7 linked regions of the Ovis aries genome follow. Each later gene encodes a partner of the first gene's protein in a complex. Links are inferred from orthologs where the notes say so. Each region holds a gene or a part of one and is shown in the gene's direction. Other genes may lie near its edges. The genes, in order: CCNC, MED12, MED19, MED7, CDK8, MED18 and MED1.

Evidence for each region.
Region 2: the proteins of CCNC (region 1) and MED12 are in contact, whole or in part, in a cryo-EM structure (PDB 8TQC), measured with the Homo sapiens proteins. The link is inferred for Ovis aries from reciprocal best matches to the Homo sapiens genes CCNC and MED12. Residues at the interface, in NP_005181.2 of Homo sapiens: Gly3, Asn4, Phe5, Trp6, Gln7, Tyr11, Ile15, Asp17, Gln19, Asp20, Lys23, Gln49, Glu53, Leu57, Arg58, Gln59, Ile62, Tyr153, Arg157, Pro158, Gln161, Tyr162, Asp165, Leu173, Pro174, Trp177, Arg178, Ile179, Asn181, Asp182; in NP_005111.2 of Homo sapiens: Ile6, Leu7, Ser8, Tyr9, Glu10, Pro13, Leu14, Lys15, Arg18, Leu19, Pro22, Asp23, Val24, Tyr25, Asn47, Pro49, Ala50, Val51, Asp54, Glu55, His56, Gly57, Ser58, Ala59, Lys60, Phe64, Pro66, Ile69, Asn72, Phe73.
Region 3: CCNC (region 1) and MED19 share a complex: the UniProt entries of both Homo sapiens proteins name them as parts of the mediator complex. The link is inferred for Ovis aries from reciprocal best matches to the Homo sapiens genes CCNC and MED19.
Region 4: CCNC (region 1) and MED7 share a complex: the UniProt entries of both Homo sapiens proteins name them as parts of the mediator complex. The link is inferred for Ovis aries from reciprocal best matches to the Homo sapiens genes CCNC and MED7.
Region 5: the proteins of CCNC (region 1) and CDK8 are in contact, whole or in part, in a crystal structure (PDB 5CEI), measured with the Homo sapiens proteins. The link is inferred for Ovis aries from reciprocal best matches to the Homo sapiens genes CCNC and CDK8. Residues at the interface, in NP_005181.2 of Homo sapiens: Met1, Ala2, Gly3, Asn4, Ser8, Ser9, His10, Gln13, Phe72, Tyr76, Lys79, Ser80, Ile81, Asp82, Leu85, Leu93, Lys96, Val97, Glu98, Glu99, Phe100, Gly101, Val102, Tyr130, His134, Leu136, Glu137, Glu139, Phe140, Tyr141; in NP_001251.1 of Homo sapiens: Met1, Asp2, Tyr3, Asp4, Phe5, Lys6, Leu9, Arg13, Gly58, Ile59, Ser60, Met61, Cys64, Arg65, Ile67, Ala68, Leu69, Arg71, Glu72, Leu73, Val84, Leu86, Ser87, His88, Arg91, Lys92, Val93, Asn145, Trp146, Val147.
Region 6: CCNC (region 1) and MED18 share a complex: the UniProt entries of both Homo sapiens proteins name them as parts of the mediator complex. The link is inferred for Ovis aries from reciprocal best matches to the Homo sapiens genes CCNC and MED18.
Region 7: CCNC (region 1) and MED1 share a complex: the UniProt entries of both Homo sapiens proteins name them as parts of the mediator complex. The link is inferred for Ovis aries from reciprocal best matches to the Homo sapiens genes CCNC and MED1.

Annotation. Positions count from the first base shown.
Region 1 is NC_056061.1:37,531,283-37,535,513, forward strand, and holds the start of CCNC (cyclin-C), read left to right. Parts: upstream 1-1,314; 5' UTR 1,315-1,442; coding exon 1,443-1,474; intron 1,475-4,231. UniProt on the Homo sapiens protein: Component of the Mediator complex, a coactivator involved in regulated gene transcription of nearly all RNA polymerase II-dependent genes.
Region 2 is NC_056080.1:63,847,675-63,850,816, forward strand, and holds part of MED12 (mediator of RNA polymerase II transcription subunit 12), read left to right. Parts: intron 1-238; coding exon 239-700; intron 701-918; coding exon 919-1,069; intron 1,070-1,224; coding exon 1,225-1,430; intron 1,431-1,589; coding exon 1,590-1,664; intron 1,665-1,756; coding exon 1,757-1,974; intron 1,975-3,142. UniProt on the Homo sapiens protein: Component of the Mediator complex, a coactivator involved in the regulated transcription of nearly all RNA polymerase II-dependent genes.
Region 3 is NC_056068.1:79,750,192-79,754,563, reverse strand, and holds the start of MED19 (mediator of RNA polymerase II transcription subunit 19), read left to right. Parts: upstream 1-1,519; 5' UTR 1,520-1,552; coding exon 1,553-1,769; intron 1,770-1,827; exon of another isoform or gene 1,828-2,450; coding exon of another isoform or gene 2,451-2,550; intron 2,551-4,372. Other genes in the region: TMX2 (thioredoxin-related transmembrane protein 2), read right to left, coding at 906-1,094. UniProt on the Homo sapiens protein: Component of the Mediator complex, a coactivator involved in the regulated transcription of nearly all RNA polymerase II-dependent genes.
Region 4 is NC_056058.1:66,400,626-66,404,967, reverse strand, and holds the start of MED7 (mediator of RNA polymerase II transcription subunit 7), read left to right. Parts: upstream 1-1,421; 5' UTR 1,422-1,474; intron 1,475-1,865; 5' UTR 1,866-1,911; intron 1,912-4,342. UniProt on the Homo sapiens protein: Component of the Mediator complex, a coactivator involved in the regulated transcription of nearly all RNA polymerase II-dependent genes.
Region 5 is NC_056063.1:33,370,202-33,373,835, reverse strand, and holds part of CDK8 (cyclin-dependent kinase 8), read left to right. Parts: intron 1-625; coding exon 626-769; intron 770-3,241; coding exon 3,242-3,311; intron 3,312-3,634.
Region 6 is NC_056055.1:238,803,714-238,808,009, reverse strand, and holds the start of MED18 (mediator of RNA polymerase II transcription subunit 18), read left to right. Parts: upstream 1-1,449; 5' UTR 1,450-1,597; exon of another isoform or gene 1,598-1,608; intron 1,609-2,383; exon of another isoform or gene 2,384-2,448; 5' UTR 2,449-2,454; coding exon 2,455-2,527; intron 2,528-4,296. UniProt on the Homo sapiens protein: Component of the Mediator complex, a coactivator involved in the regulated transcription of nearly all RNA polymerase II-dependent genes.
Region 7 is NC_056064.1:39,599,768-39,603,401, reverse strand, and holds part of MED1 (mediator of RNA polymerase II transcription subunit 1), read left to right. Parts: intron 1-411; coding exon 412-440; intron 441-2,385; coding exon 2,386-2,457; intron 2,458-2,944; coding exon 2,945-3,019; intron 3,020-3,505; coding exon 3,506-3,579; intron 3,580-3,634. UniProt on the Homo sapiens protein: Component of the Mediator complex, a coactivator involved in the regulated transcription of nearly all RNA polymerase II-dependent genes.

The DNA of each region.
Region 1 (4,231 bases):
TCCAAATAGGGAAAGGAGTACGTCAAGGCTGTATATTGTCACCTTGCTTATTTAACTTATATGCAGAGTACATCATGAGAAACGCTGGGCTGGAAGAAGCATAAGCTGGAATCAAGATTGCCAGGAGAAATATCAATAACCTCAGATATACAGATGACATCACCCTTATGGCAGAAAGTGAAGAGGAACTAAAAAGCCTCTTGATGAAAGTGAAAGAGAAGAGCGAAAAAGTTGGCTTAAAGCTCAACATTCAGAAAACGAAGATCATGGCATCTGGTCCCATCACTTCATGGGAAATAGATGGGGAAACAGTGGAAACTAGTTTTTGGTTCAAGCCAATTCAATTAAACCTACATTTATGGGGTCCCTCAAAGATGATTTACCTTTGAACTAATGAAGCCTAAGCTGATGCTCCTGACTTGCAGGGCCACTGAGAAAACTGAGGGATGCTGGGCATTTAGACGCTGGAGTTCTGGGTAGGAAGCAGAAACCAGGTTGTACACAGGAAGTATTTCTATGTGGCATTCTGGTAAACTGCCTGAAAGTTCACAGAAGGAAGGGACCTGAATCTCCTAGCTTCTAGTAATTTGTCGTAATCTCTTTTTGCATTGTTTCGCAGTCACTTCAATCCAAAAGAACTCCATTAAGAACCTATTCGGCTTGTTAGGTTTTGAGGCCAAGTGAAAGTGTCAAAGTCGCTCAGTCGTGTCCGACTGTTTGCGATCCCATGGATTATACAGTCCATAGAATTCTCCAGGCCAGAATACTGGAGTGGGTAGCCTTTCCCTTCTCCAGGGGATCTTCCAAACACAGGGATCGAACCCAGGTCTCCCGCATTGCGGCTGGATCCGTTACCAGCTGAGCCACAAGGGAAGCCCTTTGAAGCCAAAATTAACTTTATTTCTCTTTCCAAACACAGGAGAAAGAACAGAAGTCAGGAAGTCGTATAGTTTAATACAAAGCCACTGTGCTGCTTTGGAAGCCTGTAAGATGGGAGTAAAGTTAACCCGAACAAGGGACGGTTTCCCCATCCCACCCCTTCTCCGTGAATCCTAGCTCCCACAGACGCACGAGCCGCGCGGGCTCTAGGCCGGAAATGACGAAAACCTCTCGCGATACTCTCCCAACTGCCGCGAGACTTCGTGAGAGTCAGTTCCCGACTCCTTTTTCAGTGTGCGCAAGGGCTATCTCCTCCCCGCCTCTTTCCTCCGCTACCGCGGGGCGGGCCGGAACTTCCATGCGTAGGAACTGGTTTGTACAGCAGAGTGTTGCCGGCCGGCGTCAAGAAGAATAGGGTGCTATCTTCCTCTCACCGTCGCCGCCGCGGAGCGGAGCCGAGTCCATCAGATCAAGGAGCGCGGTGACCGGGAGGGTTGGGTCTATGGTCGCTCCGCGCTCCGCTCCGCCGGCTGGTGCTTTTTTATCAGGCCAAGCTGTGTTCCATGGCAGGGAACTTTTGGCAGAGCTCCCACTAGTAAGTGATCTTCCGTTTTCTCCGGGCCTGGCTCTTGGAGGTGCTGGGTGTACGGGGCCTGCGACTCCTTTTGGCCTGGATCTCGGCCCCTGTCCGGAGCGCCGCGGAGGCTCCAGGGAGGCGGCGGCCGGAGGCGGGATGTGCTTTTTCTTCGGCGACTCTCCTCACCGCGCCCCGTTGGCCGGGTTTTGGAGTGGTAGAGAATTTCTTGGCGGGGGAGGGTAAGAGGGATTGCGTCTCCGGAGGAGGAAGGTTCGAGAGTTTTAGCTTCTGATTTTTGGTTTAGCTAGGCCGAGGTTGGGGGCAGGGGAGAGGCGGGGCTGGCGAGGGTTGGGATATGGGATGGACACAGGTATGGGAAGTGTGACAGTTCAGAACTGTGAGGCTGGCTTCTCAGGACAGTTGTGGTTCGATCTCGCCTGATATTTGTAAAGTAGGTTGGCATCAGTAATCGTTTATCATTCTTCTGTGTTGAGTGGATTGTTACTCCAAGGAAAGGAGGGAGTCAGGCTTGTTTCTGCTCATGAACCGCATTCTGCCACTGTCTTTAAGCCTATATGGTTTTTATGTTTGTAAGTTATAGATCAATTGCTCTCAACATTTGTCCATTTCGTTAGTCTGTGTCTCATGTTTTGTTTTAAAAGTGTATTTTCTAGAGACTTTACCAATATCTTTAACGTGTTTTCCAGAATAAGTTTTTGTTGACGTCTGTACCGTGGAAGAACTAGAGTAATATTGAAAGCATTTCTCCCTAAATACATTTGTGTAAGCAGATAGGACGATGGTGATGGGACTAATTGAACTTTGGGTAGGCTGTACAGTGTATAGTTGAAAGACACAGAACTTGATGATACCTTAGTGTAAATACTTTTTCATGCGAAGAGAGCATAAGTAAATTTTGAGTGTGAGGATGGATTCCTATATTATTCAATTGGTATTTTAGCCGTTTGCACTAGAAAAAACGAAACAATGGGCTTTAAAACCTATTTTCAGAAAAGCAGGTTTTCTTGCTGTAAGTGGTTCTGTGGAGATGAATGGCTATAGAAGCTTTACTTCCGATCATATTTAATTTGCACTGTATTCACTGACTGAAATATTTGCTTGGGCAAAATTAAAATATGGAAAATTTCTGTAGTGAAGTAGTAGTATTCTGGTTAACTTTGAAAGAAGCTGAAAAAATTGACAGGGAGCCAGTTGTTGATTATCAGAAGTTACAGGCCTTTTTCAACTTAAAAAAAAGAAGTTTGACCCTTTGATAAGTCTTCTCATTATGCTTTCATTTACTGTTGGCTTATTAAAAAGGGGCCAGGATGTATTTTATAAAATCAATTATTTTTTCACTTTTCAAATATAAAATTAAATGTGCTGTTTTTAAAACTGTCCTTGCCTTCCTAATCAAATAGTCCTGGAGGAAGGGGCCACTTTATCTTACTCAGATCCCTTGGGAATCATGGAGTCCCTGATCTGCAAAAGGTAACAAATATGAAAGACAAGACAAGCAATTCAGGAAAAACAAAAAGATGATGAAAGCCATTGTTTTAGGTGATTTTGGTGAAAGAGGAAGATTGATATGATTTTTCATGGCTTAAAATCGCCCTTTAACATTAACTGCTGCTAGCAGCAGTTAAAAAATGGATAACATTGCTGTTATCAGCATGGCAGTTTTTGTTTCCTTCAGTAACATAGGAAATAATGGTGAATCTTACAATCATGTGTAATTTTAAATTTGAGAATATGTGGCGTTAACTGGTTTGTCTTCCATGCTGTGTGCTGTGAAGAAAAACAGTTGTTTGTGGAATTTATCTTTTTAAATATTTGAAATAACTGTGGAGAAGAAATGGATGATTTTGAAACAGAGACACTGGTAGTATTTTTCAGGAAGTTAAGTAGAACACAATACATTCTTTGACCATGATGCAGTAAAACTAGAAGGACACTAGACATTTGCTGGTTGACTGAAATAATGAACAGGTGACAAAAACTAAAACTACAAAACCAACTCTGGATGCTTTACTGTAGCAAAGAGAGCATTTAAAATACACTTACATATTATCTAGGAAATAGTATAATGAGATTAATATGTATTCATATCTTTGGGATGTGGCCAAAGCCAAATTTATAAGAAAGTTAACATCTTGAATAACTGAAAAAGAATAAAAATTATATATTTTACTTCAGAATATTAAAAAGGAAACAGTGAAATAAACCTAAGAAAAACAGGCATAATAAAGGTAACACTGATACTGAAAAGGAAAAAAACCGTCAAATTATAAGAGCTGCCTCTTTGGAAGGGAAAACCAAAACAGTAGACTAAACTATGCTACTGAATATAGGGGAAAAGGAATGGTCAGTTCAGTCCCTCAGTCGTGTCTGACTCTTTGTGACCCCATGGACTGTAGCGCTGCTAGGGTTCTCTGTCCATAACCAACTCCTGGAGCTTGCTCAAACTCATGTCCATCCAGTCGGTGATGTAGGAATACAAAATTAGGTAGGAGAAAAGTAAGTAATCACAGATGTACCTTTGGGTTATCTTCATTTTCAAAGTAAATTTTAAAGCCAGAACAAAGTTATCAGAGAGCTACTTCTTTAAAAATTGCTCCAGGCCCACATTATTTCATAGGTAAATTTTTACCCACTTTCAAGACCATCTGCCATTAAAGTTGTTCCAATTCACATGAAAAGTTTTCTGGTTCTCTTGAGGCCATGGTAACACAGATAAAAATCTAGCAAATGTAGCAACAGCAGTGATCACTTTTG
Region 2 (3,142 bases), on another chromosome or scaffold:
TCTCCCTGTCTCTGTCTGTCTCTCTGGCTGCCTTCAGTCTCTCACTGCCTTTTCTTTCTCTGCCTTCCTGCTTCTCTGTCTTCCTCTGACTGTTGGTGTCTGTCTCTGTCTCCCTCTGCTCCCTACAGTCCCCTCTTCATTCTCCCTCCCCTGTGTGTATATCCATGTCTGTCTGTCTTCCTCTCGCCGTCTTCCCTGAATCTACCCATGAACTTTTTTTTTCTTTTGTTGCCAACAGATACTTTTCCCTCTCCTGCAAGCCTTCAAGGTCTGTGTTGTATTTTCCAAGTTTCAGCAGCTCACTATTTCTCATTTTCTGGAGCAGGGTCTTCAGGTTTCCACCAAACAAAAGATCTCTCCCTGGGATCTTTTTGAGGGCTTGAAGCCATCAGCGCCACTGTCTTGGGGCTGGTTTGGAACAGTCCGGGTGGACCGGCGCGTGGCCCGTGGAGAGGAGCAGCAGCGACTGCTGCTGTACCACACACACCTGAGGCCCCGGCCCCGCGCCTACTACCTGGAGCCACTGCCACTGCCTCCAGAAGATGAGGAACCCCCTGCCCCCACCCTGCTAGAGCCTGAAAAAAAGGCTCCAGAGCCCCCCAAAACTGACAAACCTGGAGCTGCTCCACCCAGCACTGAGGAACGCAAGAAGAAGTCCACCAAGGGCAAGAAGCGCAGCCAGCCTGCCGTCAAGACAGAAGTGAGCACCCCTGCTGCCATCCCCTTGCATGCCGTCCCTGTGCACGTCTTTCCCAGCCCCACTCTCTTCCTGATCCTGGTTGTGGGAGGGCTAGGGGCATTTGAGGAAGGAGTACTTTTAGAATTAAAACAATGAGCCACGTAGCTCCACCTCCTGTTCTGCCCTCCTTTCCCACTTGACCCCAGCCCTCTCACCTTCCTCCCTTGCCATTCACACAGGACTATGGAATGGGCCCAGGCCGAAGTGGCCCCTACGGAGTGACAGTACCTCCAGACCTCCTGCACCATGCCAACCCTGGCTCCATCTCCCACCTTAGCTATAGGCAGAGCTCCATAGGCCTCTACACCCAGAACCAGCCACTGCCAGCAGGTGAGTACCAGCCACTGGGTGCAAGGGACTGACCCGAATATTCCTCCCATCTGAAGGGCGATGCTACTTCTCCCAGGAGCTATGGATGCGCAGGGTGCTGAGCAGGGGACAGAGGGACAAAGAGCCTAAAGAGGTCAGCTGGCTCCCCTTTCCAGGTGGCCCCCGCGTGGATCCATACCGCCCCGTGCGGTTACCAATGCAGAAGCTGCCTACCCGCCCACCTTACCCCGGAGTGCTGCCCACGACCATGACTGGTGTCATGGGACTGGAACCTGCCTCCTACAAGACGTCTGTGTACCGACAGCAGCAGCCTGCAGTGCCCCAAGGACAGCGCCTTCGCCAACAGCTCCAGGCAAAGATAGTGAGAGGGGCCGTAGGGAGGGCCGTCAGGGAGAGGGGCTTTTGAAGGTCACAGGAATTTGGGGTCTTCACAAGGACATGCAGAGTGGGAGATGCAAGAAACGAGGTGACAGAAAGCATTTCCAGAGTTTGAGTTTGTTTCCTTTTTCCCCTCTAACAGAGTCAAGGGATGTTGGGACAGTCATCTGTCCATCAGATGACTCCCAGTTCTTCGTACGGTTTGCAGACCTCCCAGGTAAGGGCGCAAGATGGGGAGACTTGGGGAGCTCCAGGCAGGCTGGTCTGCACACCCCTGGCTCTGACATCCTCTCTCCTCCTCCCCTCCAGGGCTATACTTCTTATGTTTCTCATGTGGGATTGCAGCAACACACAGGCCCTGCAGGTACCATGGTGCCCCCCAGCTACTCCAGCCAGCCTTACCAGAGCACCCACCCTTCTACCAATCCTACTCTTGTAGATCCTACTCGCCACCTGCAGCAGCGGCCCAGTGGCTATGTGCACCAGCAGGCCCCAACCTATGGACATGGGCTGACCTCCACTCAAAGGTACCCAAATGAGCCAGGGATGGCGGAGACACTGAGGCTTTTGATTTGGGAAAACCTGGGCCTGGATGTGGTGAGACTGGTCAGAACTTTTGGAGGCATCAAGAGCACATACCTGGCCTGTCAACACAAAATGCCAGAGCTGGAAGGGGCACTGGTGGCCAGTACTCTCATGCCTGCTTCCCAACGTTTCTTTGAGAACCAAAGAGGATACATCACTTATATGCTTGTGAGAAGGAAAGACCTGGAGTTCATAGATGCAGTGTATGGGAAGGAGTCATCTAGCTACCATTAGAGCAGCTTAGTGCTGGAATGGACCAGCAAACACATCCTCCCACCTTACTGAATGTCAGTTAGGCCTTACTTAAGACATTGTAATCATGTCTTGAGGTTCTGCAGCTTAGGGTTGAGAACACTGCCGGGTGGACCAGAAGAAAAGTCCCTAACTTAGAGGTACTGATTAAGTGCCGACTCTGTGGCCAGCACTATGCTAGGACCAGGTAGGGTGAGGAAAGCTATTTGAAAAAAAATCCAAAGTCCTTCACCACACAGAACTTTTACTCTAGCTGGGAAGAAGAGACTTATTCAGAAGAGTGCTTAGAGAACGTGGTAATGAAAGATACAAGCAGCTGTGCAGTTGGGTGCTGTGAAATAAAATGGGAATTCAGGAAAAGTGGGGGATGATATCATTGTGGGCCTGAGTCATCAGAGAAAGTTTCATGAAGGAGGTCAGACTTGAGTTGGCCTTTGAAGGATAGCTGTGGCTTGGATTTGTGGGGAGGAGGAAAAGGAGGGGGATCCCAGGTAGAGGACGTAGCATTAACAAAGACGTGTAGGGTGGCTGGGAGGACAGGCAGGAGAAGAGCTTGGCTGGAGTTTAAGATTCATGACAGGGAAAGAGTAGGGATAGGCTGGGAGTGGATAGGTTGAGAGAGAGCTTGGAATGCTTGGCACGGGGTTGAGACACAATCCCAGAAAGTGCTCTTGATCAGGAAAATGATGTGATGATTTGGGCATGTTGAGATTAACACAGGTCTCGTGGAGAAGATGGGCTTCCCTTATAGCTCAGTTGGTGAAGAATCTGCCTGCCAATGCAGGGGAGCTGGGTTTGATTCCTGGCTTGGGAAGATCCCCTGGAGAAGGAAATGGCAACCCACTCTAGTATTCCTGC
Region 3 (4,372 bases), on another chromosome or scaffold:
GAAAAAAAGACAAAAACTCAGGTGACTGTCTTTCCTCAGAACATGTATGTGGCTATTCAGTAGAGGGCGAGAGCTTCAACTTATTTTACATTTTTTTTTCCCCTTAAAGCATGCAGAATCTTAGTTCCCTGACCAGGGATGGAACCCAGGCCCCCTGCAAAGGCAGTGCAGTCTTAACCCCTGGACCACCAGGGAAGCCCCTCAAGTTATTTTTCTGAGTGGTCCCTCCATTCCAGTTCAGGGAGAACTCCAAGAGGCTTGAGACAGATTTCTTTACAGCGTTTTTTTCTTTTTTTTTTTTTTTACAATTCCATTTCCATAGGCCTAACAATTTTATTTATTTTTACATCCCCAGTATGCGGCACACAGCCCAGCACACAGTCCGCCCTGAGAGACTGTTAACTTGATTTTAAGAAATGGCTGTGTGCTGTTACCGTGGCTAAAGAGTGGCTGCAAATCCTCGTCGCTCACTAGTTGTGTGACCTTGGACGAGTCTCCTAACTACGCCAAGATCCGTTTCTTCATCAATAAAACGAGAATACTACAAATACTACTCGCCTTGTACAACTCACTGGTTCTTTATTAACGAGCAACACTGGAAGAGAGTGCGAGGGCCCAGTCTGGGGAAGACTCTGGTCGAGCATGGATTGGGAGGTGGGAAGGAGCTTGGCCTCAAAAGGCAGAAGGCTGAGACTGCTGGGCGAGCTAACCGGCTGCTTTCTCACCCTAAACAAGAGGAGGGTTAGGCTCGGTAACAATCCACGCCCTACACTCTTAGCAGTCTGTCAAGTCCGCTAAGAGGCCCGGAACCTGAGGCGTTCTCAAAACGGTCCCTCGGGGCTCCCGGCTGCGACCACCAGGGCGGGGACAGTCAAGGTCGTGGGGTCCCGAGGAGGGTCGCTCACCCAGTCAAAGTCACACGGGTTGCCGTCTTCGCGTTGCGTGGGGAGACTTTCGCAGACAGGGGGCAGCTTCCTGACGAGTAGGAAGGCAGCAGAGAGCAGGGCTGACAAAAAGTAGTAAGGTCGAGCCAGCCATCGTGAAAGTCGCGGGACTGAATACACGAGAGCAATCAAAGGCGCTAGGACCGCCATCTTCTCGGCCCCCTGAGGCACCGGCCGCTCTCTTCGGCTTCCGTAGGTCTGGTCCCGCCTCTCTCACCATTGAAGGTTTCCATTGGGCCAAGTGTCAGATGGCCCGCCTCTAGACCCGGAGCTAGATCTCTGATTGGCCCTCTACGGCAGGTAAGGGAGGTGAGAGAGGGATTTGATATGCTATTGGCTAACCTAGCTGTCGCTTTTACTACCTAAGTCATTTCATTGGTTAAGCGATTGCTGCGAGCGGAGGCCTCGGAAAATTTAATAATGTTAAGGAGTATTTCCTGAACGTTCTCAGAAGGCGACGGAAGTCGTTGCCGGAAGAAGGTAGGCAGGGCCAGAGGCAGTCCAATGGTAAACGACTCCTGGAGGAAAAGGGCGGTACCCCGTGAAAAGATTAACCAATGAGAATCATTAACGCCAGACACCGGGACGGCGCCGGGGCAGAGGGGACGATGGAGAATTTCACGGCGCTGTTCGGGGCCCAGGCTGACCCGCCACCTCCCCCAGCGGCACTCGGCTTCGGACCCGGAAAGCCGCCCCCCCCGCCGCCACCGCCTCCGGGCGGGGGGCCCGGCCCGGCCCCGCCCCCGACCGCCGCTTCGGCCCCTCCCGGGAGCGACAAGTCGGCGGCAGGCTGCGGCCCCTTCTACCTAATGAGGGAGCTGCCAGGTGAGTCCGAGGCCCGGCCGAAGCCGGCCAATCAGATCGCCGCGAGGTGGGGCTGGGCGTGGCTCCTAGATGCCGAGGGAGGTGAGGGGAAGCCCGGGCGGCGCGTGCGGGGATTTCGGAGCTCCGTGTCGGAAACGACTGCGAATTCAAGGCCAAAGGCACGACAGGAATCCTCAGGATGGACTGGGAATGAGAAGAATGGGTCTCTGTGGCCGCCTTTCACGCTCCGCCCTGTCTCTGAAGCTGATGGTGGTTTTATGATTCCCTAAAAGTTACTCCCTGGAGGTTCAGACGGTGAAGAATCCGCCTGCAATGCGGCAGACCTGGGTTTGAGCCCTCAGGTGGGAAGAACCCTGGAGAAGGGAAAGGCTACCCACTGCAGTATCCCTGCTTGGAAAATTCCGTGGACGGAAGAGCCTGGAGGGCTACAGTCGATGGGGTCGCAGAGTCGGACACGACTGAGTGGCTAACTGAAAAAGCACCCAGGGTTCAAGTTTGGAATTTGAGAGTCCTTATTTAACATCCTTGCGGACCTAGTTCCAAATCTGCTTCCGACTTCCTGTTGGTTTGTTGCCTTTCTTTTTTCTCTGGGCCTGGGCCTTTCCTCATCTGTTGGAACAAGTGAATAGAATTGGACCAGACTCTTTCATTCAAAAACTTATTTCGTTGAGCACCTATTTTATGTACCAGGGGTTATTGTACACTGAAGATACAACTGTGAATAAGGCTGACAAGATCCTTGCCTGTTTGGGAATTTACGTGCCCATGGAGGAGGCAAAAGGTAACAGGGTGAAATCACAAAGCAGTTACGGCTGTAGGAAAAAAAAATGTGATAAGATTTAAGGGAGCTGAACTGCTTTAGCTAGAGTGATCAGAGAAGCTCTTTCTGAGTAGGTTACTTTAGAGTTAAAATGTAAGCGCAGAGAAAGAGCTAGCCATTTATGAGTGGGAGAAGGAATAACTGGATACAAAAAAAATGAAATCAACAGCCCCAATGTGAGAAAAATCTTGTAATGTTTGAGGAACAGAAGATCAGCTGGACTCCAGTGAAGTGAACAGAGGAGTGATAGATAAAGTGAGAGTGTAGGCAGAGGCCTGTGTTAGACATTTAGATTTTAACATATTATTGACCAGAAACATGTCAATACCTTTTTTAGAGAGTGAAACCATTAACATCACCGTGGGAAGTTGTTAAAGCTTAAAATTGATCAAGGATTCATCATACAGCTTATCATTGACATTATCATTCACATTTTGCTCTGTTAGGTTTTTATTCCAACCTTGTGTACCTTATAAACACAAGTTTATTTTCATAAAATTTTAAAAAGTGACACACCATGCAGTTTTGAATGAAGAAAATTTTTTCAGTGAATTTTATGCAGATACTTTCTCTTATTGTCCGAGCAGCACCTAGTGCTGCAGCCCACGGGGTCGCTAAGAGTCGGACACTACCGCGTGACTTCACTTTCACTTTCATGCATCGGAGAAGGAAATGGCAACCCACTCCAGTGTTCTTGCCTGGAGAATCCCAGGGACGGGGGAGCCTGGTGGGCTGCCGTGTATGGGGTCGCACAGAGTCGGACACGACTGAAGCGACTTAGCAGCAGCAGCAGCAGATGATAGTTGTTCCGAATGTAGTTCTGATTCAGATGATGTGACTATTAGACCAACAAAGAGACAGAAAACCTTAGTGATTGTTTTCTGATACGGAAAGTGAAAATGAAACTCATGGTGCTGGAGAAGACTTTACAGGTGTGTCAGCTGTAACTATTGAATGTAATAATGCAAAGTGGTAGTGAAATAGCTGAATTAATTATTGCGTTAGTTTCTACAAAAATCCCCCTTTCAATAATGTTACTGCTTAGTGGTCCAGGAAAGAGGTGGTTTAGACTAGGCGATAGCAATGGAGGAAAGAAGTAAATGGATGCAGGATAAATGTTAGAGGTAGAACTGACAGGAATGAAGGATTGAATATAGAAGTGGAGGAGAGAGGAATTGAGGGTGATTTCGAATTTTTGGCTTGAATAACAGGATTGATGGTAGTGCTGAGGTCAGGCAAGAACAAGTTTGAGGAGGTGGAAACCGGGAGTCATTTTAGACATACATGTTAGTCTCAGGGACATCTTTCAGTTCATCCCACGTCCATAGCTTTGACTGTATGGACCTTTATCGGCAAAATGATGTCTCTACTTTTTTAAAATGCTGTCTAGGTTTATCATAGCTTTCCATTCAAGAAGTAAGCATCTTTTAATCCCATGGCTGCAGTCACTGTCTGCAGTGATTTTGGAGCCCAAGAAAATAGAGTCTGTCACTGCCACCACTTTTTCGCCTTTTATTTGCCATGAAGTGATGGGACCTGATGCCATGATCTTAGTTTTCTGAATGTTGAGTTTTAAGCCAACTTTTCCACTCTCTTTCACCCTCATCAAGAGGCTCCAAAGTTCCTCTTCACTTTCTGCTATTAGAGTGGTGTCATCTATCTGAGGTTGTTGCTCTTTATCCCAGCAATCTTGATTCCAGCTAGTGATGTTTCAGTAGGATGTTTATACCTTCAACGACAAATGCAAGTTGAAGGAATTTGAGCTTTTTCCTGAGGGAATGGG
Region 4 (4,342 bases), on another chromosome or scaffold:
CCAAGGACTAGATTTTTGTAGCATTTCCTATAGGCCATGGTAAGGACATTAGATTTTATTATGAATGTGAAGCCTTGGAGAACTTTAAGAGTGGCCAGATCAGTCATATTTTAAGACAGTATGATAAAATAGGCTTTGTTGTTGTTGCAGTTCAGTCGCTAAGTCATGTCCAACTCTTAAATAGGCTAAGGAAGGACAAAAGTGGAAGCAAGGAAACTATTGACATTTAGGGGGTTATTTCAGAAGTCAGGGGAAGATTATGGTGGCATGGATGAGGATGGAGGCAGTGCGGATGGTGAAAATTAATATTTTGAACTTTTACTTATTTCCACATAGAACTAATACAAAAGACTGATACCTTAATTTTGAATAGAGTATGGGAGAAAGAGGAGTGAAGATGAACTGTTATGTTGGAGACTTTGCAGTCGAATAAAGATGTGTAATACTGTTGGTTAAGAGGGTCTGAGTGCAAGGGACAGGGTGTTGCCAGGATCTAGATACCACTTGAGTATTATCACCTGGATGACATTAAGAGGAGAACTCAGTCCGGGGGCAATTCAAATGATCAAGTGTGCCAAATGCTGCTGAAAGTAGACCAAGATGAGGACTAAAGAATGCCCACTGGAGGTCACAATTTATGTAACATTGGTCTCAATGGAGAAAAGCCTGACTGGGGTATGCTCAAAAGTGAACAAACTTCTTCAACAAATAAATTGATTGTGGGTGGGGGAGAATGAGGTAGAGGAAAGAAACTACAGATTAAAAGATGATTAATAGATACATCCAGTATCAGACTGATACAGACAGTCACAAAGGGGTGGACTTTACTGGATCCTCAGATAATTGGTATCCAAATACTGACTTGATTTTCACAATATTAAATAGCTGTCGTGTCTGACTCTTTGCGACCCCATGGACTGCAACACGCCAGACCTTCCTGTCCTTCACCAACTCCAGGAGCTTGCTCAAACTCATGTCCTTTGAGTCGGTGATGTCATGCAACCATCTCCTCCTCTGTTACCCTCTTCTCCTGCCTTCAATCTTTCCCAGTATCAGGCTCTTTTCCAATGAGTCAGTTCTTCACATCAGGTGGAAAAAGTATTGGAGCTCCAGCTTCAGCATTGGTCCTTCCAGCGAATATTCAGGAAAATAGAAAAAGAAAGCAAAGAATAGCTACTTTTAATAGTAACACATTCTTCGCGACCCCAAACCCTGTGGCTGCTGCAGAATCACGGAAGGGTGGGAGGTGCCAGAGGGAAGGTAGGAGGAAAGGGGTGGCTGGGGAGAGGGAGTATGCGCCCGCGAAACGGTGAGCCAACCGTCACAGAGGCGGGACTAGAGCCTCGGTTAAAGGACAGCTCTTTCCAGCCAATCAAAGGACAGTATCAGTGGCTTCTTCCTGGAAGTGGAGGCCGGAAGTTGGATTTCGGCTTGAGGTGGAGAAGGCGGCTGCTAGTGTAAGCCCAGAGCTGAAGTAAGTGGGCGGCGACGGCTTGGGCCTCAGTTCCTCGTACATTTCTTTTTCCGGACCCCGCTGCTTCCTTTGGGAGGGCTGGGAGTCCGGGGAGGCCTGGTGCTGAGTACGTTCGTCCGCCTTCCTCTCCGGCGTTCCTCAGAGAGCGCGACCTTCCCCGCAGCTCGCGAAGCCGGGGTCAGGGGTGGGTGGGGGTAGTTGGCCTCTCGTGGGAAGGTACCCTCTGCGCGGCGGGCTCTAGGCCGCCTCCGGGGGGAGGCCGAGCCCGGCCGGAGGTTGGCACACCTGAGTTCTAGACCCGCTCCGCTGGTTTACCGAGCTGTGTGGCCTCGCCACGTCTTCTGGCCTCTCTCTGGCCTTGTCCCTAACCAGTCTCGCCCTTCTTCCTCAGGGAGCATTCCTGAAATCAAAAGATTTAATGGGAGACGGGGAAGGAGGTAGGTCCCAGGCGTCATTCATTAGATCTTCTGGGGAGGTTTTAAAGCTACATTCCAGCAGCTCCGTTTACAGTAGATAAACGAGTCGAACGTCTGGAGATAAGACCCTACAATACCTTTCTTTTTTGGGTTAAATCCGTCAGAACGGAACAAACACTAGAAGATGATCTTGAGTCTGATAATCAGCTTTGATGCTTGACGCATGTCTTAGGAAAAACCTCCATTGCCTTTGACAAGTTTAGTCTGGAGAAGTGGTATAAACAAACATGATTTCTGTTGTATGTCAGTTTCCATTTGTACTCTAAGATGCTTCATTGTTTACTGATTTAAAGGAGCTTGTGCTGTGCAACCATAACAGGCAAGGTTGAGAGTTCCTGCTATGCCATTTCCTGGCCGTTTGATCTGGTTACAGATACTTCTTGGTGAGACAGACTTGGGACCCTCATCTCTAAAATGAAATTGATAGTAGTAGTAACTCATAGAATTAGTTTGAAGCTTAAGTAAAAGAGAATATAAAACAATGATACCTGTCATTTAGTTGCCCTTTGGGGATTGGCAGTTTAAGTAGAGGATTACACAAGGTTCTGGGAAGCACAAAACAGGAATTCCAATCTGAAAAGGCTTGAAGGGGTGAAACCTAGGCTGTATGAAATTTATTTTGAAGTACCAGATGATTGCTAATTCTCTGATTTTGTTAATTATGTGGTTCTAAGAGGACATTCTTATTTGGGTCTACCCACTGAAGTATTTTAGATAAAGAGATGAGAGACCAATAAGGCAGATGAGGGAAAATGTTAACATTTGAAGAATCTGAAGAATATGGAATATTATTCATAGACTGAAAAGTCTGAATTTTTGAAAGTTTTAAAACATTGGTTATAACTATTTGCAACTATCATAAGTGTGTTGTAAATAAATGAACCAGTACACAGTATTTATAACCCTCCATTCCATGTACTTTCACCCCTTTTTTTCTTAGTGGCCATATTGTGTATATATAGACATTTTATCCAAGGCCTCATATGGGTGAAGGTATGGATGAAGGTATGGGTTATTTCCAGCTTTTCCTGCTCTTTTCAAACAGTGCTGCATTAAATATCCTGATACACAGATTTGTGTACTTCTACCAATATTTTTGTAGGATAAATTTCTAGAAATAGAATTGTTGGGTCACCAGTCAGTCCTAAAGGAAATCAACAATAAATACTCATTGGAAGGACTGATGCTGAAGCTCCAATACTTTGGCTACCTGATGCAAAGAGCTGACTTATTGGAAAAGACCTTGATGTTGGGAAAGATTGAGGGCAAGAGGAGAAGGGGGAGGCAGAAGATGAGATGATTAGATAGCATCACTGATTCAGTGGAAATGAATTTGAGCAAACTCTGGGAGATAGGGACAGGGAGGCCTGAGGTGCTGCAGTTCATGGGGTCGCAAAGAGCTGGACACAACTTAGCAACTGAACAACAGCAACAGTGTTGTTAATCAGCTATACTTCAATATAAAATAATAAAAAGGATTGTTGGGTCAAAGAAATCAGCATTACAGTGTTTGATACTGTCACATTAATTCCAAGTAAGCATATTTGTTTCCTATCAGTTGTGTATGAGAATTCCCCATATTCTCTTGGTGATACTGGCTTGCCACCTTAGAGTGTTATGGTGGCTGTGATGGTGTTTAGTGGGACCTCAGGGCAACGGATGTTTTCCACTGCAGAAGACTTCCCTGCAGGGCCAGATTAGCTAAGAGCTTGCTTGTAAAATTGGCATGACCACTCTGAAGAAGCTGAAAGGTAGAGTGTGATCTGTGCTGGAATCCAGCACCTGCCACATAGAAAGTGTTGTTTGTTAAGTGATGGAGTATTTGAAATCTTGATAGTCTTATATGGATAGGATCCTTTTTTAGAATTTATTTTTAATTGAAGGATAATCGCTTAATTGGCAACTGTGAATCAGCCATAAGTATACATATGTCAACTTTCCCTTGAACCTTCCCCCCGACCCCCACTCCATTTCACACTTGTAGGTTGTCACAGAGTACCAGATTTGAGCTCCCCATGTTATACAGCAACTTCTCATTAGCTATTTTACATATATGTGGGGATTTTTTGCCTTTTTTTTCTTTTTTTAATTGGAAGATAATTGCTTTACAGTATTGTGTTGACTTCTGCCATATATCAGAATCATGAATCATGAATATATCATGAATCAGCCACAGGTATACATAAATCCCCTCCCTCCTGAACTCCCCTCCCATCTCCTACCCCATCCCACCCCTGTAGGTTGTCGCTAGGTTGAGCTCCTTGTGTCACACATCAGATTCTCACTTGCTATCTATATGGTACATTTACATATTATAATGTACATGTTTCCATGCTGTTATCTCAGTTTGTCCCTCCCTGTGCTTCCCCCACTGTGTCCACAAGTCTGATCT
Region 5 (3,634 bases), on another chromosome or scaffold:
ATATTTGAGGTCAGGCGTCATCTTTTTCCTGTTGGAACAGCACCTTGCTAACTAGTGCTAACACAGGAGGATAATTATTAAACTTTACAAGCTAATAAGTCCATAAACTAGATAAAAAATAAAAAATGTTTTTTACCTCAAAAAACGGTGCTGATTGTTTTCAGCAAGTATGCCCAATTTCCAAGGCTGTTTGGGTTTTCTGTTTTTTTTTGTTTGTTTGTTTAGTTTTATTTATTTATGGTTCCTGTGCCCTGTGTGCAGCTTTGTATGTATTTCACAGATAAGGTAATGTTTGAAGCACTTAAACTCACCAAAAATTTTAGATAATAAATTTGATTGAACTTGGAATGAAACCACTGGGTGGGATGGAGGTATAACAAGGAATGAAATACGGGTGGATGGGGTGGGAATATATATTTACAAACAACATTTTTTATATTTATAATTGCTTAGGATTTAATATGACTTATTAGGGGAGAAAAAGAATGAAAAAACACTCCCTGCCAAGATAAAGATGCATTTTCTTTTGGAAAGAACCACTTTATTTTCCTCCTTTCTTTTTCTTTTTTCCTTTCTTTTTTTTTTTTTTCTTTTCTCTTTTTTTTTGTTTGTTTTTGTTTTAAAGATATTTGGGCTATAGGGTGTATATTTGCAGAACTACTAACGTCAGAACCAATATTTCACTGTCGACAAGAGGACATCAAAACTAGTAATCCTTATCACCATGACCAGCTGGACAGAATATTCAATGTAATGGGATTTCCTGCAGGTACACATTATATTTTTGTTTTTGTTTTTAAATCACTGTTGTTTGAACTTAGATGTCTTCATTGAAAGGATGTGTATTTTTAGCTGATGAAAGCTACTCTTACTCAGTTCTTTATATTTACGACTTGCATTAATCAAAGACCCTTAGAAATAGCAAAATTTGTAGAGTTCACATATTAGCATAAAAATATTTATGGGTTTCTTGAATTTGAGGAGTGTATTTTTGTTTCATTTTGGTTTTTGGTTTTGTTTTGTTTAATATTTAAAATGATAAAATATTTGCAATATCTGTGTTTAAAAAGTGCCTTTAGCTCTCACCATTGGCAACTGAATAGAATTCAGGAGCATGTCTTTTTGTCTGATAGCACTTAATAATAATGTCATTGTTTGGTATTTGAATACAGATTTTGAAGACTGTTTCTACTTGAAACACATTGTATTGAATCGTAGCATTTTTTGCTCTATAACCCTTGTCAGTAAGAACATCCTTTCCAGTTAGAACAGGCAGGATGTGAGTGAAGGCCCAGCCCTGCACAGCAAGTGAGCCTGCTCTGACTGCCGCTGGGAGGTGGTGGTTGGGGCATTTCGTCACGGGCTTTAGAGCTCCAGCCCCAGCCCAGTCCTTGTGCCGCAGAACAGAAGTCCATTACTCTCCATTTGAAACGCCTGCATAGTTTTGGCTAGTCAAGTACTTCTTATTGAAATGATAAACAATAAGTTTATTATTAATAAATATGTTAATAATTTAAAATATCAATAACTTATTGAAATAATAATAAGAAACAATACGTTGTTTCTTATTAGGAATTTTTCTCAGATCAGTGGCTCAAAACTAATACAGAAATATCTGGGAGTTATAATTTCACATTCCCTTTAATTATCAGTAAGTGCAAAGTAGCTACCTTTGTCCAGAATTGACCAACATTTCTACAAAGATTGCTTTGTTGAGATGGGAGTTTCATTTATTCACTAAAGATTTATTGAGCACCTGCCATGTTTCAGGCACTGTGTTAAGTGTAAAATATTGTTGATATAACAGACGTGATTCTTGCCCTCTTGGAGTTGACACTCAGCTGCTCTAAGTAGAATGTTGAAAGAATAGGAGTAGTTTGAGTAGATGGAGAAGAATGACCTTTTCTTCCCACTTCTGAATGCACTCATCAATTCAGGGGTCCCCCGGGGAAGGAGCCTGACTTACAGGGCCTTGGAGGAGGGGTGGCCTCCACAGGAGATGGTTCTGAAATGGTTCTTAGGGCGTGGTTCCACGTTTGGGATCTGCTTATAGGGAATCTGAAAACCAAGCAATAGAATTTAGATTTGATGTGCTAAAGAAGGAGAATCTGTGATAAGTTCTTGAGAACTAGTGCTGTGATTTGTGTTCTACTTTAGAATGGTTTCTATGGCAGGGGTATGTAAAAATTTAAGAGGGGTAACTGAAGTCAGGAAACCATCTTTTACCTGCAGCAGTACTCCACGTGTAAAGTGATTTGGATGGAGAAGAAAGGATAATGGTATAATTTTTTAGAGTAAGCCTGTAATTGGGAGAAAAAAATAAAAGATTATCTTAGGATTTCTACTTGAGAAATTGACAGAAATAAAGAAATTGGAACAAGGAAGTAGTCAAGGAGAAAATTCCTCTTAGGAGTTTAAAGTATGTATTTAGTTTACAATATGTGGTATCTGGAGGCTAGATAGCAGATATTTTTATAAGCCAGTTGAGAGAGAAGCTAACCTCTGGAGGTCATTTAAAAGCTGAGGTGCCATGAAGCTACCTGGTAGAGAATGTGGGCACCTGTGGACTCTCAGTAACTCCTCCAATGGACACAGCAAGCTTCTCAAACCGCGTGTGGTGTTTGAGTAACTCTAATGTCAGCAAAACTGACCAAGATGTTTCCACCTGATGGGTCTGGTAGCTGGGATTGCTTTTGTTATTATTATTGAAACTAGCCCAGATACTAGCTGACTTGTTCATATGCTAGTACATCCGACTCTGTGTTTCAGACAGCTGTAACTGCTTACCTTGATTACCATGTAAAGCAGTGTATTTAATAAGGGGAGCGTAAGGAGGGCCGTATAAAAAGGACAGCTTACAGCTGCTGAGGGGGAAGATACTGCATTTATTGTTGAAAAGATTGGTTGCTGGATTAACCAAGACATGGTGGGACAAAAGTGGTTTTACAGATAAAAATAAAAGTATTTAATAATGGAAATATTTGTTTATAACTTGTTGGTGTCTTAGTATAAAAACTGAGATAACTTATAGTAAAACATAGAGAAAATAGACATTTAAAAACAGCATATGGAGAATGCATTTACAGTTAAAGATGTTTATTGCAGCTCACCATTTATTCGAAGTCTGTGCTTTCAGGGAGGTTAAAATGTAGGACATGTAATGAGAAGTGAAGTCACCTTTATTAAAGTTCTTAATAATAGGAACCTAGACAATATAAAATTGTATCAATGTGTTTCACAGATAAAGATTGGGAAGATATAAAAAAGATGCCTGAACATTCAACATTAATGAAAGATTTCAGAAGAAATACGTAAGTTGGCAAGAAAATAGACTGTTGATTTTTGCTTTTCTAGAATACTCAGGATAAGATTGAATACTCAGCATGATAGAATAGTTGACAGAAGACTAGTCTGTTAAATAATTTTACTTATTTACTCTAATAAATGTTTTTGCATTGTGGTAGTCTTCATTTCTTAAGATGTTTGAATGGTGATACAAGAAGGTGAATATCTAATATCAGCAGCTGATTTGGCTATGAGGAAAAAAGTCAGTTCATTTCTTTGCATATTTGTTACTTTCTGGAAGCTTGCGTCTGTGAAGGGTATCACAACTGAAGCAGTAAGAGACTGAAAG
Region 6 (4,296 bases), on another chromosome or scaffold:
TTCTGCGGTCTTGAAGTCTGGAAAGTGCCTCTTATCCAGAACTGCCTGGAAGACCCACCACAGGACTCACTACCTTCGGAAGTGCCTGTAATCCAGCTGCAGTAAACCATCAAAAGTTCATAGGAGAGCCAGCTGGAAAAGCCGAATTCTTTTCCTTGGTTTCAGGTCTGATTAGACCCAGTTTCAGCCTTGTGACCTGTATTTAGGTTTGTGGTGTTTACAGCTCTCCAACATGTTTACTTCCAAACGCGACCATCCTTTCTTGATGGGAACAGTGGCCACCGAAGTCCAGTGTTTTATTCCATGAAACTGGTTCGGATCGGTTGAATTCGATCCAGTGAAACCAACAGACCCTCCCACCAGAGACAGATGAGATTCTGGCCTTTATTAAGCATACATGGTGAACACCTAGTCCTGGCTGTACTTGGCAACCCTCCTTCTGTTTTGATTCCCACTCCTCCCAACATGTGTGTACTTTTGACCTACTCTGAGCCGGAGTGAGTGAAGTTGCTCAGTCGTGTCCGACTCTTTGCGATCCCATAGACTGTAGCCTGCCAGGCTCCTCCGGCCATGGAATTTTCCAGGCAAAAGTACTGGAGTGGGTTGCCATTTCCTTCTCCAGGGGATCAGACGCTTTACCATCTGAGCCACCAGGGAAGCCCACTCTGAGCTCGACTCCTGATCTATTCGAGCGACCTTGTCCTGTCTACAAATGGACAGGCAATAAGATGACTTTAACCCAGAAGCAGCACCTCAGCAAGGGAAATGAAAACATCAGAAGCCAAACTGATGTAAGGTGTGGCGGCGGCGGTGGTTAGGAGACTGAGTCCCACTGAGGCGGGTTGCACGCCCCCCAGGAGGCGCAGGTGGGCCCCACCCCAGCCCCGCGGGGCCGCGCACGCCGGCCGGAGGGAGGGGCCAGATGAGGACCAAAAGTCTCCAAGCGCAGCTCTTCCTTAGGAGCGGGAGCTGTTCTGAGTGAACCTCCGGCCGTGCCCTCCTCCAGGGGATCCTCCCGACCCAGGGATCCAACCAGAGGCTTCTGTGTCTCCTGCAGGCAGATTCATTACCGCTGAGCAACTGGGAAGTTCTATCATCAGATACCCACCCAAAATAAGTTTCTGTTTTACGACAATCTCTCCTCTTTTTCTGAAGCTCTCTTCCCCAGGGTCTCTTTGTCCTTTCAGGTCCAAGAGATTTCCTGGACAAAAACACGTCCAGGTCTTCACAGTTGAAAAAAATATTTTCCTGGAAGATGGCGTATGACTGCAATGCCGCCTGAATCTCCCAAAGGACCCCTCCTAAGGAGGCCGCCATCTTCCGTGCAGCATCGGAGTTTGCGCATGCGCCCCTGCTTGCCGTACAGCGGAAGAGACTTTTTTTGTCCTCTCGGCACCCTTACGTCGCAGAGTGGCGGTGTCGAGGTTTGCGCGACGAAAGGTTTTTGTCAGACGTGGGAAGAGGCGAGAGAATTGTTGCACTGCCTAGGGGTTTTCAAGTTTAGGGCTGGGGGTGGTGATTGTTGCTCGAAAGCTCCGAGGTGCTCGGGTGAATACGGTCCCCCGCTTTCCTGGAAGAGGCTGGAACGCGCTTGGCGGTGTGTTTTTGGTATAAGTGGGCACGTTTTGATGCTGGGTTTAGGAGGCCCTAAAGCATCATTGGGGCTTCCCTAGTAAACTCAGACGGTAAAGCATCCGCCTGCAATGCAGGAGACCCGGGTTTGATCCCTGAATTGGGAAGATTCCCCCGGAGAAGGAAATGGCAACCCACTCCAGTATCCTTGCCTGGAAAGCCCCATGGATAGAGAAGCCAGGCCTAAGTCGATGGGGTCACAAAGAGTCGGACACGACTGAACGACTAACACAAAGCATCAGTGGAAAGAACTTCGTGCTTTCGCTTCAATCTCTTTAAAAGGTTTTTAGAGAGGTGGAACGCCTAGATTTTAGTCTGGTATAGGTTCTGCCACCCACCTATTGTGTGTCCTTAGGCTCCTCCCCAAGCCTCAACATCCTCATCTGTAAATTGAAGGGCATACAAGAGTCCTTAAGTCACTTTTCAGTCTTTAGTTGCAGGTCCATTATGTCATCTGAGCCACAAAGACTTGGGGGTTAATATCATGGCCTCATTTTAGAAGAAAGACATTGAGTCCCAGGGTGCACAGAAAACCATTGAAGGGTTTCAGACCTTGAGACTGAAAGATTATGCTGTAACTCCATGATCAGGCCTCCTTTGTGTATTTCTGGATCACCTGAAACTGGCCTATAGCAGTTACTAAAGTTTTGAATGGGTGGATGAATGAATTTTCATCTCCAGGCCAATGACCCAAGCAGATCTGGTCTCTCTCTGCCTCTCCCATGTATTAACAAGTATAACTCTTCCCCAGGTGTATCCTGTGTGTTACCTGACTGGGGATTCCAAATCTAGTTCTGTCGTTTTCAACTTAAACAGATAAACATGGAGGCACCTCCAGTCACCATGATGCCTGTCACCGGGGGCACCATTAACATGATGGAGTACCTGCTGCAGGGTAAGTGAACTAGGGAGCTTGAATTACCTGTTTTCCTGTTTTCTGTTCCGCTTTCCATGGAGATGAGAGGCTGTTATATAAAAGCTACCTGCATAATTTCTGGCACCCTTTTATTCCCCAATTTACTTTTAATTATGGTCACAAATACATAACATTAAGTTTACCATATTAAACATTTTTAAGCATACAGTTCAGTAATGTTAAGTATTTCACATTGTTGTATAGCTAATCTCTAGAACTTTTTCATCTTGCAGAATTGAAATTCTATTCCTGTTAAACACTAATTCCTCCTTTCCCCTTGCCGTAGGCCTTGGCAACAACCTTTCTACTTGATGTTTCTAATTTTGACAACGTTAGATAACCTCATAGGAGTGGAAGCATTCAGTATGTGTCTTTTTATGACTGGCTTATTTCACTTAGTATAATATCCTCAACATTAACCCTTTCGCATGTAAGAGAATCTCCTTTTAAAAATCTGAATAATGTTCCACTGTATGTACATACCATATTTTCTTTATTCGTTTGTCTGTCAGACATTTGGATTGCTTCTACCCAAATTGTTATCATAGATAATACTCAGTGAACATGAGTGTGCACATACCTCTTCAAGATCCTGCTTTGGATTCTTTAGGAGTGAATGCCCAGAAGTGAGATTAATAGATCATATGGTAATGTTATGATACTGTTATTAGTTCCATCTTCTAGATCAGGAAATAGAAGTGAAGTAACTTTCCCAGATGAGAAAGCTCAAGACCAGGGAGGGTTATGATTTTCTGGAGGTCATTTAATCTTTAGTGGAAGAATTTAGACTTTAATTCAGATCATCCGTTTAGTAACTTACAATGGACAAAATAAAATTGTTAATTGCACTCCTCAATCTGCCTCTACTTCAGCCTTTCCCATCTCAGTAAGTGCCGCTGTCAGTCATCAGTTGCTTAAGCCATGCATTCAGGAATCAATCTCAGAGAAAAGAAAATAGAGTCTATGGGGTTGCACAGAGTCGGGCACAACTGAAGCGACTTAGCAGCAGCAGCAGCATGGCATGCAGGATCTTAGCTCCTGAACCAGGGATGAAACCTGGGTCCCCTGCATTGGGAGCACCAAGTCCTAACCACTGGATGACCAGGGAATTCCTGTGAACAGTCAGCCTAGATTTCTAGATCTAGTCATCTAGATGTCTGTTTCTGACCTTTTGCCATATTTGCTCTATCTTTTTCCTTTTGCCGTTTTTGAAGACAGATTCAGATCTCGTAACATTTTACCCCCAAACACTTTCAGTATTCATCTCTAAAAAAGCAAGCGTATTTTCCTTAATAACCCCAATACTATCATTATTACCTGAAAGAGTCATAGTATATTTCTGATATCATCTAATATATAATTCATATTCAGAAGTTTCCTCCATCTTGTGTTTTGATCCAGGGCATAATATCATCTCATGCATTACATATGAAAACCGTGTCTCTTAAGCCTTTTTTAACTTGGACCCGCCTCCCCTCATTGCCACTTTTTTTCATGTGACCCTGTCTGGTTGAAGCATCCATACCAATTTTCCTAGAATGATCTTTTTAAAATGTAAATCCAGTCATATCTTTCCTTGTTGCATGGAGAATAAAGTGTGGAGCTAATAACTGCCCAGTGGCCGTACAATAAAATACAGCCTTTAGCATGGGCGACACATAAGTCCTGCCTGCTTTGGCCCATCCCAAATGCTCATTTCATGATCATCTTCCATCTTGCTTACCATACTTCAGCCACACTTTCATTTC
Region 7 (3,634 bases), on another chromosome or scaffold:
TAAATTCCTATCCTCAAAGAACTTATAATCAAGAAGGACAGATAATCTTGTATATAGCTAATGTCTCTGAAAAGCCCTGTAATAGACAGGAATGTAAAAGGTGTATAACCAGACAATTGGATATGAATTCCAAGGATGGCTTTAAAGAGAGGTCCTAATGTTTTAAACAAGCAACTGAAAGTTGATTCCTTTATAAACTATTTCAATATATTTGATTTTTAATTTCCTGACCCAACCCCATGGTTTACCAAGTAGGAAGAAGATGTCTTTGATATCTTAATATAAGGACCTTCTATAGTTTTAATGTTTCTGTTATAAAGCATGTGTTATTAATAAAAAAGAAAAAAACTTTTGATGTCTTCAAGCATCTTAAAGTAGTTTAGAGTTTTAACATAATTTCTTTAATTTCAGAGCTGTCCAGAGCTTGTACAGCAGCTAAGGTGAGCAGCTGACATTTACATTCCCTTTTATTGGCAGACAGTGCTGTTCTTTATAGTTACATTTTGAGAATGGTCAGAATTTACTTTTCTAAGGAACAACTTTATTTTCTTGGGTCAAGATTTTTCAAAGTCTGTACTTGATCACTTTTAGAATTGACTTAGCTTTTTTTTTTTTTAACACTCTATTGCATCTGTCCTAGGATTTCCCAACCTTGACAGTATTGCCATTTTGGGTTGGGAGATTCTTTGCTCTAGGGGGTTGCCCAGTTCATTCTTGGATGTTAAACAGCATCCCTGGTTTCTCCCAGCTAGTTAGGATCTATGATAACCTCCTGATCTGTGACTTTGATTATCTATGATAATCAAAAATATCTCCAGATATTGTCAGACGTCCTTTGGAGGACAAAATCACTCCTGGTTGAGAACTACTGAGTTAACCTTAGGAATTCTCTGTGGAACAAAATAAACAGAACCTAATTATTGAATTAGAGAAAGCTTGAGAAAATTGAGTCTATACTATGGAAAGAACTTTTTTTCACTTTGAGAAAAATTGTTTTATATTTAAGGTTTATGGGTCCCAAATCATAGTAAAGTGCTAGGCTTGAAGACAGTCTCTTTTAGTAATTGATGTTTTTTTGTCATTGGCTTATCTTTTCTCCTTTAATTGAGTGGAGATTTCCATGCTTAAATTTAAACCCAGAATTAACTCTGGAAATTTGAGAAAGTTGTTACATCAATTTTATGTTTTAAATATAGTGAAGTTATCAGATACGGAGGAGTCTTAAGGGTTTAACATTGAGAAATAAGTTTTACACTCAGCTTTCCAGTGATCACTTTAATGTCCTTACAGCCAAATACACCAGATTTGAATGAGCTTTGAAAAATTGCAATGCAACATAAGAAATAACCTTTTATGATTTCATTTACTCAATAAGTCTGGCAAAGATGTATTATCAGAATAGTCCAGGAAACCAGTATTTCTGGTTCTAATGTAGAATAGGAGACTGTACCAGTTTATGAACTGATGGTGTTCTAAAGTTAATTTGTAAGCATGTTTGGAAGTGGGAACCTTAGAAAGAATATTAGTCTTTACCAGGTATTTTTAATCACTCTGTATAGATGATGATTTTAAGGTAAGGAATATATTTCGCTGTTGCTCTTGTTTCTTTTTAGTGTCTTCATGGCACTTTGGGCAATAAGTATTCAATAAATGCCTGATCAAGTATCTGACATTGTCAGAGCAGTACAGTTTTCAACAGACATTTTTTTTTTAAGTTTGAAAAAGGATATAGAGACTTAGAATTGTTGAGTTGTGTTGGATTCCTGCCTATAAAAGCTTATTTGACTAAGAATCCACCTCTGAATGTTAGGTTTTAGGATGCCAGAATTCCTGGTACTAGTTTCTTTTTCCTGGGGTAATTTGTTATAGGAACATTTTAAAATATATCATTTGCCTCCACACTACCTATTCTGCCTTTGCTTAGGTCTCCCATCTCTCTTCCACTGTTCATTTCCTTTCTCTGCTCTTATTGTATACATGAAAGTGTCCTATCTTCCTAATTTATTTACTTCCTTTTTCTCTCTAAAAGATTTTTTTTTCCTCATGACATCCAGTCATCTCAGTTACAAATTAAGAGGGGAAGTGATTTAAACTAAGTCTCATTACTTAAGAACAAATTAGTATGTGAGGTAACAGGTCTTTTTGACTATCTTTTATACTGTTTATTAGCACCTTCTCCCAAAAAATGGAGCAGAGAAAGGAGAATATTGTATTTTCTTTTGCAACTTTTGACCGATTCTAGAAAACTTATGGGGGGGGGAATTAAAGCAAATTATTAAGATTAGTTTTATATAGCCTTGATTTTGGGGACTTTGCTGAGAAGATTGAGTAGTAATTGTATGTTTTATTCTCTTCCCTCTCTCCTCTTCCCTGAACATCTCACAGGGAAAAAAATTTTGATGAATTTTCTAAGCACCTTAAGGGTCTTGTTAATCTTTATAACCTTCCAGGGGACAAGTAAGTATTTTTGCTTTTGTTTGAAAAATTAGTATAAATCTATAAATCATTTTGTTCTTAGAAATTTGCCAAGTCTTCTGCCCTAGCTCATTTCTGATTTCTATTCATACTGACAGTCTATAACTTAGCTTCTAACTTAATGTCTTTTAAAGGTATTTTAAATAAACAGTATCTGGATTAATGATTATAGTGCTAGAAGGTAGCAAGGTATAATCCTTGAGGTATCTTCAGCATATTGATTTCTAGGCTGAAAGAAATTGTCGTGGGACTGGTTTTATATTTTTAACCTACCTGGGATTCTGCTTACTTGCTTGGTCTTTTAAGTAGAGATAAAAATTAGTTTTGGTAGATCACTAATGATTTAAAAAAAAAATTTTTTTTTTTTTTAAAGATCTAAGTTGCCTCCAAGGTAGATTTGCTCTCTAGGCTTTCACTGTTTGTGTTTATGTATATTTGTTAACTAATTCTTGTTCTGTTTACTTTCTAGCAAATTGAAGACTAAAATGTACTTGGCTCTCCAATCCTTAGAACAAGATCTATCTAAAATGGCAGTTATGTACTGGTAAGACTGGCTAAAGTATCAGTTCTCTTTGACCTTGTTCTTAAAGTTGTTTTGTCTATGGTTTACTAGGCTTCTGTTATTTAAAAAATATGTATTATAGATGTATGTTACTATGCATCTGTATTTTACCTGTACTGTACATCTTGTCCATATCCTTTCACTTCCCAAATGATTGCATTTCATTTTCTGAATATCAGTATCCCTAAGTTGTTGGTTGGTATTCCATAGGTTTTATAAGAAGACTTGTGAAACCTGGCCTCCCTTCTGATAAATAGTATAGTTGTAATTTTTGTTCACCATATTATACACTGGTGTATTCTCAGAAATAATCCCTTCACCTTGAGGGTGAAATATAATTGTTAAATGCCCAAGATAAAGTCATTAGGATAGAATTAAAAGATGTGTAAGGGCTGAACTCATTATCACATTGTATACTAATATCTTCAGGGCTTAAATGTAAATAAACATAGATCATTTGTCTTGCAGGAAAGCAACCAATGCTGGTCCCTTGGATAAGATTCTTCATGGAAGTGTTGGCTATCTCACTCCAAGAAGTGGGGGTATGTGATGCTATTTTGCTTTAGAAAAAAACCTAATTTTTAGTTGAAAGATTAC